Linked DNA regions of Notamacropus eugenii. The main gene of each other region encodes a partner of the protein of the gene in region 2 in a complex. Links are inferred from orthologs where the notes say so. Each region holds a gene or a part of one and is shown on either strand. Other genes may lie near its edges.

Evidence for each region. The genes of interacting proteins can lie anywhere in the genome.
Region 1: the proteins of MALT1 (region 2) and BCL10 are in contact, whole or in part, in a cryo-EM structure (PDB 6GK2), measured with the Homo sapiens proteins. The link is inferred for Notamacropus eugenii from reciprocal best matches to the Homo sapiens genes MALT1 and BCL10. Residues at the interface, in NP_006776.1 of Homo sapiens: Asp46, Gln47, Ala48, Pro49, Trp54, Arg55, Leu74, Glu75, Ser78, Leu79, Val81, Leu82, Glu83, Pro84, Glu85, Gly86, Pro88; in NP_003912.1 of Homo sapiens: Leu13, Lys17, Val83, Arg87, Asn93, Gln97, Thr100, Leu104, Arg107, Asn108, Leu111.

What each region holds. Positions count from the first base shown.
Region 1 is NC_092873.1:494,611,430-494,621,642, forward strand, and holds the start of BCL10 (B-cell lymphoma/leukemia 10), read right to left. Parts: upstream 4,206-10,213; 5' UTR 3,831-4,205; coding exon 3,774-3,830; intron 2,473-3,773; exon of another isoform or gene 2,307-2,472; intron 1-2,306. UniProt on the Homo sapiens protein: Plays a key role in both adaptive and innate immune signaling by bridging CARD domain-containing proteins to immune activation.
Region 2 is NC_092875.1:431,330,823-431,340,920, forward strand, and holds the start of MALT1 (mucosa-associated lymphoid tissue lymphoma translocation protein 1), read right to left. Parts: upstream 5,110-10,098; 5' UTR 4,957-5,109; coding exon 4,739-4,956; intron 1-4,738. UniProt on the Homo sapiens protein: Protease that enhances BCL10-induced activation: acts via formation of CBM complexes that channel adaptive and innate immune signaling downstream of CARD domain-containing proteins (CARD9, CARD11 and CARD14) to activate NF-kappa-B and MAP kinase p38 pathways which stimulate expression of genes encoding pro-inflammatory cytokines and chemokines.

The sequences.
Region 1 (10,213 bases), on a different chromosome or scaffold from region 2:
CAGTCAGTTTTGTCAATATACCAATAAGGGGGGCTTCAGGCTGACACAATCTGTCTAGACTAGGTGATACCATCTGTCCTGTCTGCCTGCCTGTCAGGGTGCCAACACAATTTGATAAAGGAGGCCACTTAACGCAGCTTCTTTGTTTTGATACCCACTTTAACTAGAATGAAAGGGAGCACAGAATTTTTTTTGGGGGGGGATGAGCTGCTTTGGAAATACACAGCAAATCCTTTTTACATAAAGATGAATTTCTTCTTCTGAAAGCCTAGAAGGCTCTCAGAACTGCTATTAATAAGAGGCAGAAAGCCATCTTTTATTCAAAATACAGTTTTTAAATCTACTAGCAGATTCTGTTTTATTTAACAATATACTAAACTACTGCTAGAGTTAAGTTTGCTTTTCTAGAAGAAAAAAATTTGAACTGGTAGTCCTGAGCCAAAATTCATGTGCTTCATTTTTTTCACAATGTTATGACTCATAACTTTCTGAAATACCTATGTGGGGGCTGCATTTAATACAACATTTTTTTACTGTTTTGAAACTTGTTTCAACTAAAGGAATTCAACTACTATATTTATCTCTAATTGCAGCTTTTCCTAAGAAAGTCCCAGTGGTAACAAGGTCACAGAAAATCTTATTTCAGTACTCAAGTTTTCTTAATTCAATGTGAAAAGAATTTTTTTAAGGTTATTAGAGTGGAAGATGCCACCAAGGCTGCAAATTTGTGTGACTGTGGTGCTCCTGACAGAAATAGGGAAGTTAGCAAGAGGGGGCGGAAAAGGTAATGAGTTCTGTTTTGGACATTTTACATTTTAGATGCCTAGAGAATACCAAGTTCAAAATGTCTAGTAGTCAGTTGCTTAAGTAGAAATAGAGAGAAAGGGAATGGATACATAAATTGGGGGGCCATTTGCAGAGATGATGACTGAACTCAAGGGGGCTAATGAGGTCACCAAGTAAGAGAAAATGAAGAGAGAGAAAAAAGAATCCAGGACAGTGGCTTTTAAGTAAACCCACAGTTAAGCGGTGAGACATAGATGACGATCCAGCAAAGGAGACTGAATACAGATCAGACAAGTAGAAGAGCCACCAAGAGAGTGCAATGTCAGGAGAACTCAGAGAGGAGAGAGCATCCTAGAGAGAAGCTCATCAACTGGGTCAAATGTTAGAGAAGTCAAGCAGGCTGACGACTGAGAAAAACCCATCGATTCCAAGTCCTGGTATAAAAAACTGGCTAAAAAAAATTCTATGAAACAATAATACTTCATTTAAAAATGAACACAAACAAAACTTGGACCACTCAACACCCTTTATATTGTTTGGCCTCATGCTACAATTATCTGTACATATGTTCCATCTCCCTGATTTACCTGTAGCTTCTCTGGGGTCTGGACTTATCTTCTAATCACCTATGCATTCCCCAAATAATGCTGTGCCAAGAGCTGGGGACAGTTTACATTTGTTGAAATATTTCACAGGGTTTTTATTGTTGTTGTTATTATCTGCAACATACAAACCACTATACCCTGATCACTCAATCTTGACCTGCACCTTGGCCCCTCCTGCTGGGGTCAAGGACAGCAGGGAACTATGCCAGAGAGGGAAGGGTCCAAGAGGATAATCACACTCAAGATTTGATTTTACGAAAGCTCTGAAAGAGAATGGTGTATTCACTGACAGTCTTGTATTAGTTAGCTGTATATCTACTTTATCTCAGCTACTAAACTGTGGGCCTCTGGGCCAGAGGTGGGGAACATGTGGGGCTCTCAAGTGCGGCCTTTTGACTTTGACCCTTAAAAGGATTTGTTCTGTGAACAGTCAAAGGGCCACACTTGAGGATCTAGGGAGCCACATGTGACCTTGAGGCCTCCCTGAAGGTTCCCCATCCATGCTGGTCTTTTATTCATCTGTGTACTCCCACTGACCTGGCAGACATTAATGCACAAACAAAAGGTCATATACCTAAGCTTCTAAAATATTCTGTGAATTTATTTTCCTTTTACAATATGACATAAAAGTCCAAGGGGCTGTAAGGAGTGGGAGATGCAGCAGACTGGACTAGATGAACTCTAAGCTCCTCTGCAGCTGTCAATTTATGATACTAATATGCTTAAAAATACAAACAGGCTTTCTAGAGTAATTCTATAGGCTCTAAATTCCAATCATTTCCTCCAAAAGGGACAGGTAATTCATGGTTATTTTCACAGTGAGTCAAAAGCGCTGAATCATACTTTGGACTTTAGACAAAATAGTTTAGTCTTGAAAGGAGAAACTAGAATTAACCTTTGTTCATTTTGTTCCAGGATTACTGGCATATCTGTTGAAAGGAAGCAAAGAGTAAGGGAAAGAACACTGAACAAGGTTCTCATCCTGAATCTGCCACTAACCAGTTATGCGACCTTGAGCAAGTCACCGCCACTACGGACCTCAATTTCCTAATCTGTCAAATTAAAACACATTTCAACAAACAATAAGTGTCTACTATGTGCCAGCTAAGCTATACTGCTGGAATACAGGAGCTCCCACCTAGCGGCAGAATTCCCTGATTTCAACGTTCAGATACTATATGAGGACCAGCCAGGTAGAATGCTGCCTAAGCTGTTTTTTTCATTTCTCAACAATAAGACGCAAAATGATGGATAATTATTACTCATTCTTAGACATCTTAGAGGGCGAGCACTTGCATGAAAAACAAAGGGAAACGTAAACATTAACTAGATTACATAATACATTTAATTATAACTAAGCATTAATATTTATGCTGCTTTATAACACCTATGAAAGAGAGGTCAGCTGTTGCATATTTTACACTTTACAGATACCAAATCATCATACTGATATTTTTGAGGCAACATTTGTATCCTCACTTGTGAGAACTCAACAGCTCTTCTTCCTCAGGCTAGAAAGACCAAAGGTCTCATTTAAATGGGTAGGAGTTTTCATTTTAGGGGAATTCCTAGTAGCAGCAGCTGGTTCTGCCTCTGGGGATAAAGGCCTTTCCCCATCTGGGACAGCCCGTGGGCGTTAGTAACTACTGCCACCACGGCAGGGACGGCCTTTTCATTTTCCATACCCATTCTCAGCCCCAGTTTAGAGACAGCTCCTGGAGCGTGGCGGGAACCTGGCCCTGGTAGGGCCATCAGGATCCCGGGAAGCACCAGGGCGGACGCAACCCTGGACACTAACTTGACAAAGAGCAGGGAAAGCGGGCGGCGCGGAGGACGGTGGGGCCCCGGAGGGTGGGTCTCAACTCCAGCCCTGCCACCCGTGTGACTGGGCCCGGGCTGGATGACCCGAGCTGGCCCACCTCCTCATCCTGAAAAAGAGAACGATGGCCGCTCCGGCCTCAGGACCCACCTCTCTGCAGTCCGTCCAGCTCTACGGCGCCGGTCATCACTACTCTATTAGATTCCTTCCCAGGTCCCTGGGCCTGACCAGACTCTAACGCCCTAAGGGGGCATGGACGCGGAAGGAAGTACTCATCGGGCCTACTCTGCTAAGTGTCCCACAAATACGTGCTCATTTATTATTCCCATTGTACAGTGGGGGAAACTGAGGCAGGCATTCAGTGCGTTGTCCAGCAAGGACGTGCCGGAATCACTACTTGAACTTAGGTCTTCCTGAGTCCGGGCCACCTCCTGGGGGGAGGTGTCCTTCTTGGGAGCGCACGGAAAACCCGGGACTTCCCCCGGCCCGGCTCCCCTGGGAGTTTCGGGGGCCTGGGGTATGCAGCTGCCCCGCCCAGCCCCGGCCCGGCCCCCGCCACTCACATCCTTCTTTACTTCGGCCATGTCCTCCTCGGTCAGCGCGGGCGCGGCGGGCTCCATGGCGGAGGCTCCAGAACTCAGGCCGCGCCGCCCCCAGGACTGAAGAGGCTCCGGACACCTCCCCGCCCCCCACCGGCGACCCAAGGGGTGAGAGGAGCCGAGAGAGCGGAGGGCTCGGGGGCCCAGGAGCGGAGCGGCAGCTTCCGGTTCCGGCCCCAACCCTACGCTGAGAGGGAGGAGGCTGCAGCGCCGACCGGACGAGCCCGAGCCGGGACTCCCGCCCCCAGCCGAGCTTGGGAACGAGACTGGAGCGCACAGCAGTCAATCCAACTCGAAGCGGTCCCGCCCCTTCCCGGAGGAAGCCATTGAGGCCTTCCCTTACACCCCGCCCCTCACGGGACGAGCCACGCCCCTCACGCTTCCTGTGCTGAGGTCAAGCCACGCCCCTTGCTAAAGACGCTCTCTCAGTTCCCCTTCCCCACCTCCCGTTTGATATGAACCACGCCCCTTGCGGAAACTGCGTTCCCTCCTCCCGCGGGATTCAAGCACAATTCAAACCACGCCCCCAACTAAAGCTCGCCTTACGTTCGCTGTCCCATGGGACTTAAGCTCCGCCCCCTCCCCTTAGTCGCTCGCTATCCCTAACGTCTCCGGATGCCAGCCACGCCCCTCTCCTATTATGGTCGACTCTAGACCCAAGTTGCAAACCTCGCCTCCTAGCGCTTCCCTACTCCCGCTAGACGCAAGCCACGCCCCTTCCCAAAGACAACCCAAGTATTCCCTAACCCCACCTCCCTACCACGGACACCCACTGTGGGGGAGGGACCTCAAACCACGCCCCCAAGAGGGCACCCAAGCTCCCTCCTCCCTCCTGAGGGATGCAGGCCACGCCCCTTCCGGAAGCCGCTCCCCATTCTTATCTCCCGCGGAATTCAGACCACGCCCCTCCCTTCTAGTCCAAACCTCCGCTCTCCTTGGCTCGGGCGCTCCCGGCTTTGTCCCACCGGAAGTTTAATCTTGTGAAACGATGATGGAGCGCCTTACTGTCATCAGACCAGAGCTGTGGCTTCTGGCCAATCAGCTTCCTCCTCTGTAAAGTGGAGATGCTCCCGCCCCTCCCTAGGGGCTCGTGCGGCCTTTCTAGTCTCCAAAGCTGGTGCAGCCAACGCTGGGTCTCAGGGATGGATGGATCGATTGATTCATTGATTTCCATTGATTGCACGCGTCTGTTCCACGGACTTTGGCCCCAACAAGAACGGCCTCCCGGAGGGGCTGCGATTTCCGGTCATTCGCTCGTTCTTCTCACGGGAGCGGCTCCGCCTCTCCCCGCAGCCCCCGGTGCCCGCGGCCCTCTGCTCCTCTCCTCCCGTGTTTTTTCTTTCTAAGAAGGTGTGGGGGTTTCATCCTCGCGGACCTCAGCACTCTCTCTGGTCACGGATCTCTGCGAGCACGCACCCGGAGGTCGTGCCAGTCTGGTCTTCTTTCCACGAGCCCACGGAAACGCGGGATCCTCTTTCCGTTAACAAGAGAGCGGTTCCGCTGGACCCCGGGTAAGAACGCCTGGCTCAGTTTAGGCTTTGAGCCCCGGCAGTCCCGTTTTCTGTGGCCGGACTCCGAGGAAGCGCACGGGATGCTTCGCGCAGCCCTCCCGCAGAACTCCTACATCTGCGGGTCTTCGAGGAGGATGGAAGCGCCGCTGCTGCTGTCCATGGTCCGTGGGAAAGGGAGCCCTTCCAGTGGGAAAGCAACGCCAGCCAGGGTCCGAGCCACAGCCGCAGCTGTCGCCAGCCCGGCCCGGCTCCTTCCTCAGGTCTCCGTCCGGGCCAGGCGGGGTCTCGGTCACTTCTCTAGCACTTAGCTCGGAGTTTATCTCAACTCTCTTGCCTGGGCTCCCGGAAAAAACTGGCAGCATTTCTCTTTCATCCCCAGTCTCAGCGGGCAGCAGCCAATTGGAAGGGCACCATTCGGTCTAACTAGAAAGGGAAACTGAGGCTCAGAGGAGTGAAATGCCTTGGAGGGAGTCAGCTCTAGATGGTAGAGAAGATAGGACAGACTCAAGTAAAAAACAAACACGGGGTGGTCTGAGAGAAGTACCAATATCTCCAATATCTCTGCCAAGAAAACTCCAAATGGGTCACAAAGTGTCAGACGAAGCTGAAAAGTACTCACTGGGGCAATGAGCCATTAAGGGGCTTCCTTTTGGTCAAGCAATTATTCTGTGTCAAAGACTCAGGGCTTCCTGATTCCAAGGCCAATTTTCTATTCCCTGCTCAACACTGTCTCTTATTAAATTTATACCTGTACTTCATTTGTGCATGACCTTGGTCCTCCTCACACATGAGCCCACAGAAAAGCTATTGCAGGTTCAAAGTACTTTGTAGATTTGCATCTACTCAGACTCATGGCTTGTAAGCACCCAGCAATGTGCAACATTGTTTCAGAGCAAACGACATTTCATCAAACTAAGTGACCATAAAGATCCTCTCACCAGAACACACAGGGCTATACTCTCCGACAAGTTAGCATACCGCCGGTGTGGGAGGGAAAACGCACAGGGACGGTGCATAACCAGGGCAATCCAAACCTCTCATGCTACAGAGCCTCTGGTAACATCATGGAGATGACTTCTGGGCTGATTGCTCACTGATGAACACTCACCTTGAGCTGCTTTTGCTCTCAGCTGCCAGGTGTGGCTTATTGGTTGAGCAGAAATAGCTTTTGGTAGGATTTCAACTCTGAAAAGCTCATAGTTTAAGGCTACAGACTTTATAAGTGCAGGCAGCCCTACCCATATGGACCCATCTAGTTAGACAGAAAGAAAAGTCCTCATACCCTTTGTCTTTTGAGCTCTTTTTTTTTTTTTTGCTGCTTGTGTTCTTTTTGTACAAACTCTTATTTGACTGAAAGTGAAATTCTTTTCACCTTCCTTCCATTCCCATAATTTCTATGTAAATTACATGGGTTTATGTAAATTAGAGGGGCTAAAGGGGAAGCAACTGAAAGGGGTTGGTGACTTTTGTCTTATTTCTCCTTATCCTAGCAGTTAAATTGTTGCTTTTCCTATATTCACAAAGTAATAAGTCTAAAGGGGAAAAGTCCTGAAATACTTACATGGCACTGTTTCATTTATTTTCTATCTCTCCTTGTCTACTGCCTTATTTCCTACTGCCTATTGCAGACGTGCTCATGTCTCTTCCATCCTGAAGACAAAAGCAAACCAAACCTCTGACTTTATTCTTCTGCCCCCATTAGGCCTATATTCTGCCCTTCATAGCTAACCTTCTCAAAAGACCATCTATAATAGGCACTTCCACCTTTTATCCTCTGACTCTTTGTCTACCTCTTACAATCTGACTTCCAACCTTATCTTTCCACTGAAATGACTCTCTAAAGTTACTAATAATTATCCACTGGCCTTTTCTCAATCCTCATTCTCTTTGCCCTCTCTGCAGCTTTTGACATTGTTAATCACTCTCTCCTCTCTAGGTTTTTGAGACACCACTCTCTGCTAGTTCTCTTCCTACCCATTTGACTGTACTCTATCCACTGTATCACCTAGCTGCCTCAAATATTTATTAAGTGCTTATGGTCAAGCATTGTGCCAAGAGTTGGGGATATGAAGAAGGGCAAACAATATATATGCAGTATGAGTAGGAGGTAATGTTAGAGGAAAGATGTTAGCAGTGGCAGGTGGGAAAGGACTGCATTCTAGGCTTGGAGAGTAGCTAATAAAATGTTCAGTTGGGAGATAGAGCATCATGTCTGATGAACATCAAGAAAGCTGGTATTACTAGGTCATAGAATAAAGGAAGGGAGTAAAGTGTGTAGGAAAGAGCCTTGTTATAAAGGTCTTTAGATGTTAAGAGGATTTTATATTTATATTCACTCCTAGAGCTAATAGGGAACCATTGGAGATTATTGAGTAGGAAGGGGAAGGGACCAAAGGTGAAATGGTCACCAAAACCACTTTGGTGCCTGAGTGGAAGATGGATTTAAAACAGGGAGACCAACCAAAAGGCTACTGTCAAAGTTCAGGTCTAAGGTGATGAGGGGTCTGTTCCTGAGAGACTGGGGAGTATACAAGAGATGTAAAGTAAAATTGACAGGCCTTAACAACAGATTGGCTATGTGGGTGGGGTGAAATGGAATGGGGAACTGAAGATGACACTAAGGCGACCGAGTAGGATAGTGGTGACCTTGATAGTAGTAAGAAAGTTAGGAAGAGAGGAGGGTTTGGGAGTGGACTAAGATAATGAGTTCAGTTTTGGACATGTTGAGTCTTAAGATATCTATGGAACATCCACCTGGAGATTTCCATTGGGGAATTGGTGATGCGAGACTGGAGCTCAGATGACAGGGCTGAATATATAACCTGGGAATCACCTACATAGAGTTGATAATGAACCCATGGTAGTTGATGAAGTAACCAAATGAGATACTATAGAGGGAGAAGAGAAGAAACTCTTGGACAGAACCTTAGGAGACAACCACAATTATTGGGTGTAATCTGGATGAAGATTCAGCAAAAAAGAATGAGAAAGAGGAGTCAGGCAGAAGAGAACAATGTCATGAATACCTAAAAGAGAGAGAATAAGCAGTAGAAAAGAGTGATTGACAATGTCAAAGACTGAATATGGTTCAAAAAGAATGAGGATCAAAAAAAGCTATTAAATTTGGTAAATAAGACTTGATCCTTGGTTACTTTGGAGTGTAGTTTCAGTTGAATGGCCGTGTCAGAAACTTGACTCAGAAACCTCATCACCTGCCATTTAGACTATCAATTAATTAATTAGTATCCTTGTCTCCAGTTTCGTCCTTCTTCATTCCTTTTTCCAAGACAAAATAATCTTCCTAAAACACATTGCAAAAGATTTTAGAGAAAGAATTGAGAAGAGAGATGACTTTTTCAAGTTACCTAGCCATGAAAGGAAGGAGTGGTCTATATCTCTCCTCTCCTTCATGGCTAAATACCTTAAAAAAGCCATAATAGTCAGTGGGGATGATCAAATCAAAGGAGGATTTTTGAAACAGAACCCTATCTTGCAACAAAATAGGTAGACTCGAAGCAGATCAATTTATTGGCCAAATCTCTTTCTTATCTTAACTGTATACTATTTCTCTGCTGAGGACTTTGAAACATCCTCCACATTCAGTCCTTTAAATGATCTTTTAAACTACTAAGTCCTATGTCCTTTTCTTAGTTCTCGTCTTTGACCTCTGTAGCTTTTAATACAATTTCCTCTCCTTCCTCCTCGTTGATACTCTCTTTGTTTTTGGCTTTCCTGATACTGCTCTCTCTGGAGTCTCCTACCTGTCTGTTCTCTCATCTATCTCCTATTCTGTCAAGTTTTCTCCTGGGTCCTCTTCTTTCCTTTCTTTACATTCTCTCACCTGATGAATGCATGGTCTCTATTATCATCTTTTGTGGATGATTTCCAAGTTTATCTTTCCAAGCTTTATCTCTCTATCTCTCCTGAACTTCAGACCCACACCTGTAGCTGCCTTAACATCTCACTACCACCCCAATTTCAATGTGTATAAAGCAAACCATATATCCTCACCTTCTCCAAACTCCTTTCCTTTTGCTTCTGCTTTCAGAATGTCAACTAGACTGTTCCCCTCTCTTTATGGACTTAGTTGCCTTGGGCAATTATAACAATCTGTTTTATACATCTCTCCCTCCAGTTTCCTCCTTCTCCAATTCCTTTTTCACCCAGTTGACAAAATAATCTTCCTAAAACCACATTACTCAAAAATCTTATGGGAGCTTAGAACTTGTGGTTCTATGAAAAGGTAAATAAGTGGCAATGTTAACTTAATCCTTTTGTTCTATTATGCTTTTGTTAATTTGGGTCAATATTTGTTTTAAACATGCATTTGAGAATTAAATAATTGAGAATTGCCCGCTGCTCAAAGGGAGGGGTGTGATCAATAGTTGGGGGTATGAGACAAATGACTGATGGACATATATACTTCTAGATGGCATAAAAGCATTCTACAAAGTCAAGGATGAAGTCAAGCAGTGAAAGATATCTAGTATGCACCTGGGCCTTGCTGATGCTTTAAAGAACCAGGCAGCTGGTTCTCTACCCTTCCACCACCTCCTGGTGGTTCAGTTTGTATCATTATGTTTCCAAATAAAAAGGTAGCCTTTTTGGAGAGGGGAAGGAAAAGAAATTGGGATTGACTTGCCCAAGGTCACACAGCTAGTATGTGTCAAACATCTGAGACTGGATTTGAACTCCAGGAGTTCTCTATTCACTGCATCACCTAGCTGCCCAAAAAAGTAGCATGTTACAGAAGACAGAGAGCTGGTCTGAGACTCAGGAATATCTGGGTTCAGGTCCTGCTTCTGATACATGCTGGCTGTCAGTGCTCTGAGTAACTGTAAGACTATTAGTTGCAGAGGAAAAATGCCAGCCTGTTTTGTTATAGAGAATTCC
Region 2 (10,098 bases):
CCTTTTCTTTCTTCCTCCCCAAAATCATGCCCATTAACCCTGGATATCTCCCAAGACTGTCCTAGGCCTGCTTCTTTTTCAGCTCTATACTCTGGCTTGATGATCTCATCAGCTCCCATGGGTTTACTTATCATCTATATGAAGATGATTCCCACATCTATAAAATCCATTCCTACTCCATCTCCTGTCCTACATCATTAGTTGCCTTTTACACATCTTAAACTAGAAGCTCCATACGCATCTCAAGTTCATCATGTAAAAATTATTATCTTCCTCCAAAACCCTTCCTTCTTCCCAACTTTCCTATTACTCTTAAGGGTACCACCATCTTCTCCATCATCCAAGTCAGAAATGTCAATCTTGTCCTCACTCTCACTCACCTCATATATCCAATTTGCTGCCAAATATCTTCACCTCTCTCACATACTCATTCTCTCCACTCACAGCCACAACCCCAATTCATGTCCTCTTCACCTCTCACTTGGACCATTGCAGTAACCTAACTGGTTTCTTTGACTCCAATCTCTCTCACTGCAGTCCATCCTTCACTCAGCTCCAAGTTGATTTTTCTAAAGTGTAGGTCTGACCACACTGCCTCCTTACTCAATGAGGTCCCATGACCTCCCATTACCTTCAGAATCAAAGATAAACTCTTCTGTTTGGCATTTAAAGCTCTTCAAATTCTGTCTCCTTCCTATCTAATTTCTTATACTTTACTTTCCCCTTCATAATCTACATTCTGGCTATACTGCCCTTCCTGCAGTTCCTCACACAAAGTACTCCCATCTCTGTGCCTTTTCAATGGCTGTCCCCATGCTTGCAATGCTCTTCCTCAGCCTCTCCTCTCCTGGCTTCCATTAAGACTCAATTAAAATTCCACCTTCTGCAGGGTGCCTTTCCTAGTCCTCCATACACTGTTAGGGCCTGTACATATCTTGTAAATACAATTTTATTCATTTTTCTCCTCCATGGAGGACAGGAACCATCATTTAGCCTTTCATTGTATCCCTAGTGTTTAACGTAGTGCCTGGCACATAGTAAATTCTTAATAAATGCTTGTTGATTGATTACTTTTCTTGTCTTCCAGTATGGGTTTTTTTAAGACTTAACTCAAATTCCACCTTTTGTAGAAGATTTTTCCTGCCACCCCAGCTGCTAATGCCTTCCTTTCTCAGATTACTTTCTACCTATGCTATACAAGTGTTCCAAAAATCTTAGTGCAGTTTAAAGCTTTAATAACTTAAACTTTAAAGTTTTATAAGGCACTAAATTTTTTGGCATGCTCTTATCACATATGTATTTAAGTACTTACATGTTGTCTCCCTCAATATAAGGTGAGCTCCATGAGGGAAGGGCCTTTCATTGTTTTTCTTTACATCCACAGCACTTAATATAGTTGCTTAATAAATGCTTGTCAACTGACATCCCAGAATCTGCATAGGAACCTTCTCATTCAAAGTAATAATTGCCCGACTCTAGATTTTGTAAAAAAGGCATGGGTGGGACTAGATGGTGTCTGAGGTCCCTTCCAAATCTGAAATTTTGTGATTCTTAAGTTGATGTTCAACATAACATTGAGGGAAAGATGTAATCAAAAAGCATTTATTAAGTTCCTTCTCTAACCTTTAGGTGCTATACAAAACAGAAGAAAAATAATACATGGTACTGCATTCTAGGACATTATAATCCAGTTGTGAAGACAAAACCACAGCACACAAGGGGGAAAGAAGCAACCAGTGCAACAGTATATAATTAAATGTTACAGAGATTCAGAGAGGAAGATTAAGTGGGGACTACAGTATGGGGTGGGAGGAAGCTTTGATTTTAGAGCCAGAAGACTCAAATCCCAGCTGAGTCACTGATACCTCTATGACCTTGGGCTTGCACTTGACCTCTCTGGGCTACAGTTCCCTCATCTATAAAGTGAGAGGGTTGGATCAGATGACCTCTGAGGTGTCTTCCAGTACCAAACTATGATCTTATGGTCTATAAAACAAAGAGGTTGGACAATGTGATTTTGAAAGCTCTAATTCTATGACCCTATGATCTTAAGATTTCATGGAAATTTGAGCCTTGAACGTGACTTTGAGACAGGCAGGTAGTAGTTGGAAAAGCAGATGGGATAAAGGATGATGAGTCTCAGAAACAGGACATAAACCCAGGTCTTCCTAGTTCCAAGGCCAGCAATTCACCCAGTATATCATACCTTTCATACTACTTAATATTCCCCTCAAAAAACATGGTACAGGAATAAGTATATAAGTAAGGAATTAGCAATAAGAGACCCTGAGGTTGAAATCAGGTTTTGCAACTTATAAACTGTGTAATATTGCCAAGTTACTTAACCTTTCTAGGCCTCAGTTTCCTTATTTGTAACATGAGGAGGCTAGACTAGATGATGTCTGAGCCTCTTTCAGTTCCAAATATGTGATTCTGCAACCTTCTTATCTTTTTTATTCCATTCTTTCTATGTGAAATGTCTCCCTGCTTATCTATGCCTGTCAAAATTCTAGCCAACCTTCAAATCACAACTTAAGTCAACTAAGAATACTTACTGATCCCATCTCCTCTGAACTACTATATCTCTATGTTTGCACAACCCCTGGCACTTTTCATATACTATCTTATTATAGTATGGTGCAATGGAAAGTGCACTGGAGGTTTTCAGAAGAAGAAAGCATAGCTATTGATAGTCACATGAAAAAATGCTCTAAATCACTAATAATTAAAACAACTGTGAGGTAGCATATCACAACTATCAGACTGGCTAAGATGATGGAGGAGGAAAGTGAGAGATGCTAGAGGGGATGTGGGAAAATAGGTACACTAATGCACTGTTAGTGGAGCAGAGAGCTGATCTAACTATTGTAGAAAACAGTTTGGCACTATGCCCAAAGAACTGTAAAACTGTGCATAACCTTTGACCCAACAATACTGCTAGTAGGTCTCTATGCTAAGATATTAAATAAAAAGGGACAAGATCCCACATGTGGAGAAATATTTACAGAAGTTCTTTTTGTGATGCCAAAAAAATGGAAATGGGGGAAGCCCATCAGTTATAAGATGACTGAACAGTTATGGTATATGAATTTGATGGAATACTATAATGCTGTAATAAATGCTCTAAGAATGCTGTATGATGAAGAGGTCAGTTTTAGAAAAACCTGGGAAGACTTATATGAACTGATATAAAGAGAAGTGAGCAGAACTAGGAGAACACTGTACACAGTATTGGCAACACTGTAACGATAATCAACCGCAAAAGACTTAGCTACTCCGATCAAGTTCCAAAGGGCTCATGATGAAAAATGCTATCTACCTACAGATGGAGAACTGAGGGACTAGTACAGATTGAAGCATCCTTTATCTCTTTTTCTTGCTTCTTTTTTCCACCACAACATGGCTAAAGTGGGAATGTTTTGCAAAACTTCATATGTATAATCAGTAACATATTTCTTGTCTTCTTAATGGGTGGGAGAGGGGCTGAAAGGAGGGATATAATTTGGAACTGAAAATAAAAATTAAAAAGCAAAAAAGAAAACAAAAAAAAAAGTGTAGTGGACTTAAGAGGCAGAGGTCCTGGGTTTGAATCTCAGATTATCCTATTTATTACCTCTATGACCTCAGGCAAATCAATTTATCTTTCTGAGCCACATCTATAAAATGAAACTGTTGGACTAAACTTTCAACTCTAGGTCTATGACCCTGTATTTTGATATTTTGTATCTCTTCATCCACCAGTCATTGAATCTGCTATTTGTCCTCTATATATCTTGTTTGGATACAATTGTTTTCACATAGTCTTCCCAATTAGACTGAGTTCCTTTGAGAGCAAGGTCACCTTTTGCCTTTCTTTGTATCTTCAGCGTTTAACAGAACCTGGCACATAAGAATAGGCAAAATGAATTACTGATGGACTGAATTAATACCAGTCCAGTACTCCTGTTCCTCCCTCGACAAACACTATTTCCTTCTAATCATTCTGAGTCGATCACTTTTTTACCCTTCTTTTTCAAGTTTTCTCACGCGCCTTCCTTTTTATTGAAATCGTCTGTTTCTCTCAATGTCTTTTAACCTCACGTGAAAGTGACATTTCTTGCCCTTTAACCTTTCCCACCTACAGTATTTCTCTTTCTCTGTTCTCTTGGCTCTGAGCATTTTCTCCACCCCGACTATGGGAAAGCAGACTTAAAGCTTCCTCAAAGTCCCAGCTAAAATCCCACCTTCTACAGGAAGCCTTCCCCAACTGCTATTTCCTACTTAGCCTGCATGGAGCTTGGTGTGTGTGCCTGTGGGGAGGAGGTGGTTGCATGTTGTCTCTCCCATTAGACTGTAAGCATCTTGGGGGCAGGGTAGTCTGGTGGATGAAACGGTACGAAATATAGAGTCAGACCTAGAGTTGAAAGTTTAGTCCAACAGTTTCATTTTATAGATGAGGTTCAGAAAGATAAAGTTTTTTGCCTGAGGTCCTAGAAGTAATAAATACGATAATCTGAGAGTCGAAGCCCCTTGGCACGCAGCAGGAGCTTAATCAACGTTTACCGAACCAAACCGGTCCCACTTCGCCCCCTTCTTCGGCATCGGGGCGGGGGAGGGTCCTCCACACCCCGAGGTGCCTCGCCACCTCTCGCCCTCGTGCCGCACGCTCCCGATCGCTCCCTCACACTTGCAGCTCAAGCCCCCGGGCTCCAGCTCCGGCGCTCCCTCCCCTTCCCTCCGGCCCCGCCCCCCCGGACACCTGAGCCTGTAGCGCCCGCGGCTCCCCGCGAGCTCCGCCAGCTTCTTCCAGCCCCTGCCCTCCGCGGCTCGGTCCAGGGCGTCGCTGAGGCCCCGAAGCGCGGGCTCCCGCAGCCGGTTAATGTTGACAGCCCCCGGGGACGGGGACGCGGTGGCGGTGGGCGCCGGGGAGGGCGCCGGCGGCGAGGCCGGCAGCGTGTGCCCCCACAGCGACGACATGTCCCCCTCTCCCGCTTCCAGGCCCGTCACGCCGCACGCCTCGGAGCCACCTTCCGCTCCCCGTCCTCGGCTCGCTTCTCTTTCCCAGGGCCGGGGGGCGGGGGCGGAAGGACACGTCAGAGGGCGTCTCACCGCACACCGCGGAGGAAGCTGCTTCTCTCCCGGGAGAGAGAGACAGGTTCTCCCCGCTCCCCGCCCCCTCCCCGGGCCCTGGGCCAGCTGGCGAGGCTCGCGCCGGGGGAGCCCATGGCCTACGGGGGCGCGCGCGCGTGCGTGCGTGGGTCTCGCGCCTCACCCGGTTGGAGGCTGGCGAGGCAAGTCCCCCGCCGTTCTCCCCGCCCCTTCTGCCAGTCTGACGCGCCCACGGCGGGCTCTTTAAAGCCAAATAAAGCCTACGGAAAAAGCGGAGGCCGAGGCTGGGGGCGGCGCGGACAGGGACGGGGAGGGGGCCTTGGGCGGGGGAGGGAGCCGCCGCCCCGTATTGAAAGGAGCGGCGCGGGCAAGGGCCGTCGTCCTGGTCCGCTTGGCACCGGAGGAGGAAGACACGACTAGCAACATGGGAAGATCTTGCCCCAGTCGGCGGAAAAGCTTCGTAACCGTTTCCCAAAAACTGAACGGGCCGCCTCCACGGGCTCTGCCTTTCTCCTGAGTAGACGTGGTCAAGCACAGGTCCGCCCACCCCTCCTGGGACTCGCCTAGTCGGGGTTCGAACTGAAGAGGCATGGGAGGTGCTTCGTCCATCCTTATTGACCCCGTGGACTTGACGTTGGGGTTTCTTGGCAAAGATTCCGGATTGGTTTGCCATTTCCTTCTTCGTTCCAGGTTTTTTACGGATGAGGACCTGAGGCAAATAGGGGTTAAGTGACTTAACCTTGGTCACACAACTAGTAACTGTGTGTGGATTTAACTCCCATCTTCCCTACTGCTGCTGCTCTATCCACTACACCACCTAGCTGCTCCTATGAGGTGGTACAATTTAATAAAAATCAAAGTATCCCATCATTCCCCCCTTGAATGAATATGGACTAAAGTCTTGGGGTAAGGGGCAAAGGTCTCTTCTTCTCTAGCTATTTCCTGCTGAAACGGGATGTAGAGCTGTCCCTGCCCCAAGGGGTCCGATTTGGGAGGTCAGTTCTTTAGCTGGCATCTAGAGCTTGGTTGATGCCAGGTTCAGGGGTGACACATCACAGTCATGGACAGGGGGTGATATCCAGCTTAAGGGTCAAGCATTTGCAGTTGGAGGGTACTAAGCCAGCAGGAAACAAATTTAGCAAACAAGTTTAACAGACAAAAAGAAACAAAAAGAAGCAGGGTAGGTAGGGTCAGCCATGCTTCTGGAGTTCATGAACCCACTATCGTAGCCTCATTCACTGTAGAATATATGAGTTAAGGTAATTTGGTAATCATCTTTTCCTGAGTAAACAACAGTTACAGTGTTATCTTTCCTGTGTACTATAATTTCTGCAGCCTTTGGAACATCATCTGGCTTCTGTTTTACCCATATTTTAGCTCCCAATTTTATTTTTTCAGTAGAACCCAACCCTTCAGTTTCTCTGCTAATTATTTTAGAAGGAGAGTCAGTTTTCACAAGGGATATTGTTTCACAAGGAGTAATAATCACTTGAACTATTCTATCAGTTTTATAAAATTGTGTGGGTTCTTCACCTAAATTTTGGATTGTCACAATAATTTCACCTTGATAATTAGAATCTATCACTCCAGCCAACACATGTTTTTGTCAGGCTGGTAATTCTGATTTAGGTAATATCTTTCCAAAATGATTTTTAGGGATTCTCATACATATTCCAGTAGAGATTTTTCTTATTTCTTTTGCATCTAACCTAAAGTCCTCTAAACAATGTAAATCATACCCTCCCAAACCAGGTGTCCCTGGATACAGTGCTGGCCTCACAATCCAATATGCAATATTTGGGATCTTATGTATTTGCAGATTTGGGGTCATCATTCTGGCTAGAGGTGTACTTCTTCCCAATGGTCTATTATTCAAATTACATAAAACAGTGAATAAATTTTCTTTCCAATGTTGATAAGAATTATTAGAACTTAACTTCCTTAACTGTTCTTTCAATAATCCATTCATTCTTTCAATTAACCCAGATGCTTGTGGATAATATGGAATATGATATGTCTATTCTATATTGTTTAATACACAATATCTCTTCATTTTATTACCTTTGAAATGTGACCCATTGTCACTTTGGATCTGCATTGGGGTTCCATAACAGACTTATGATATCAAGAGTTTTATAGATGTTTTTCTCAATTGCATTCTTATAGGGACAAGCCACTAGTACACCTGAATAATTGTCAACACAAGTGCATATAAACTGGCATCCTTTATCTTGGGGTAGGGGTCCAGTATAATCTATTTGCCAAATTTGGGCTGGTACTTTTCCCCTCACTATTTCTTCGGTTACTATCCAAGGAACAGTTTGTTCCTTTTCCAATTGACATATATCACATTCCTCTGCTTCTTGTTTTAACAATGAATGAGTGATACTAATACCTCAGTCTTGTCCAGTGGTGTGTGGCCTGGACTCCTAAATGTCTGGCTGCTTGATGGACCCATTTTGCTAGTATTAGATCATCATTTGGTGTCAGAGTGGGGACAGTATGTTGAATACCAATCTTTGCTGGTTGATCAGCATGTACATCGTACTCACGTTCTGGTGTGGTGAGGGCCATGTGACATCTTCATGAAAAACTGACAAATTAGTAACCAAAGACATGTCCCATATATCCTTCCACAATTCTTTACTCTAGATTTGTTTGCCATGTATTTCCCAATTTTTCCTTTTCCACGTGCTCATCCATGTGGCTAATGCATCAGCTCCCACCCATGAATCAGTGAATATATGACACTATCCTTATCATTCTGTTTTGATAGCCTGATGTACTGCCATAAGTTCAGCATATTGACTACTTCCACCTATCCTAGTACTTTCCAAAGTCCACCTAGTACATGGGTTATAGGCTGCTACTTTCCATTGTCTTTTGTGGCCCAAATATTTTGCTGTCCCATCAATAAATCATGCATGTCTCTTTTGTTTTTCAGATAATTCATCATATCCCTGATTCCATTTTACCAAGGACTGTACCAAATGTTGCTTTGGTTCAGGAGGTATATCATTTCTCCTAGGATCTATTTTTGCTACAGATTCATATAAAGCAGAAACTACATTTTTTCCTGTTTTAGATCTATTTTGAATATGCCACTCCCATTTAATTATGCTAGCCTCTTACGCATGTCCAATTCTGTGAGAAGCTGGGGTACTCATTACCCAGGTCATAATCGGGATTCCAGGCCTTAATATTACCTCATGGTCCAAAGTCAAGTGTTCAGTCTCTGCCAAAGCCCAATATGCAGCTAACAACTTGCTTTTCAAAAGAGGTATATTGAATTCCAGATGAAGGGAGTTTCCTAGACCAAAATCCTAAGGTACATATTGTCTTTGTTATTTTTGCCATAAACTCTGGTTAGCATATTCATCCTGTACAGTCACTTATAATTTCACTGCCACTTTGCATAGTCCATAAATCTAGGGCCAATTGTAGAGCAGCCTTTGCTTCTTCAAAAGCTTTACTCTGCTCAAATCCCCAATCAAATTCATGTGTTTTTCCTAGTAATTTTATATAAGGGTTTCAAATTTGTCCTTGATGTGGTATATGATGTCGCCAATATTCAAATAATCTTATAAAATTTTGGCCCTCTTTCTTATTGATGGGAATAGGAAAATCCTGAATCTTTTGTTGGGCTTGCAGGAGATTATCTCACAGCCCCTTATTCTATAGTATACTCTAAAATTTATGGTTTGAGCTGACCCTCGAATCTTTGCAGGGTTAATTTTTCACCCTTTGCTTTTCATATGCTCAGTTAAAAGTGTCAAACTCTTCTCCACTTCTTTTACATTTTTTCCCCATATCATAGTATCATCAATGTAGTAGGTAAGCTGTACATCAGGTAGCTCTAATTCATCCAAATGTTCATGCACAATACTATGACAAATAGTGATGCTATGTAGATATCTTTGTGGCAAGCATGTAAAAGTATATTGTCAGTTATGCCAAGTGAAAGTAAATTAGTCCCATTGTTTACAATCTATTGGGATAGTAAAGAAAGTATTGGCTAAATCGATAAGTGCATACCAATTCCCATCATATTTCTGGGTCCTTTCTATTAAGGTAACGGTATCTGGAACAGCAGCATACAAGGGAAGAGTCACCTTATTCATTGTCTATAATCCACTGTCATCCTCCACATCCCATCTGACTTTTGTACTTGCCAGATAAATTATTCCATCGAGTGGTTGTAGGGACTAACACTCGTGCCTCAACGTATTGCTTTATAGTATTGGTAATTTCACCTTGCCCACTTGGCACATGATACTACTTTAAGGTAATTACTTCAAAAGGTTCAGGTAGGTGGTGGAGTAGAAGGACTGACCTGTAGAAGCTTTCCCCCCATAGCCCATAAAATGCCTATAAAAATGACTAAACAAATTCTAGAGCAGCACAAGTTACAAACTGACAGGGAAACAGATTTCCAGCCCAAGACAGCTTGGAAGGCCAATAGAAAAGGTCTATCGCACCCCAGGATCAGAGCAGAGTGCAGCCCAGCCTTAGCCATCTGGCATGGACAGGACTGAAGCAGGCTTTGAGGCATGGAATTATGGGTAGCAGCTGTGGTTCCCACATTTCTCAACCCACAAACACCAAAAATAGCTTCAAATATCAGTAAGAAAGCTCTTTCACCTAGGTAAGAGGAGAGCCCTAGCCTCAGGCCCAGGCAGTGATAGCATTCACTTATGGAGCCCTCTGCCTAAAGACTCTGAGGGAATCAAATTACTGATCTGGATCTCAGCTCTGAGTGGTGGTCCTGGAGTGAGGAGAAGTGCTGACTGGCGTGGTGGAGCTGGTGGTGGCTGTGGAGAGGGAATCCTACTCACAGTTCCAGGGCAGAAAAGAGTGCTCACAGACTAGAGCACAGGCCAGGAGAGGAGTAAACTCCTTTTCCTTGATTGTGGCACCTTGGAGGAACTGAGAATTTACAGATCCTTAGAGTATACCCTCCACTTGACAAAGGACTCAAAAATCAAGTAATTGACTAGAAAAATGCCCTAT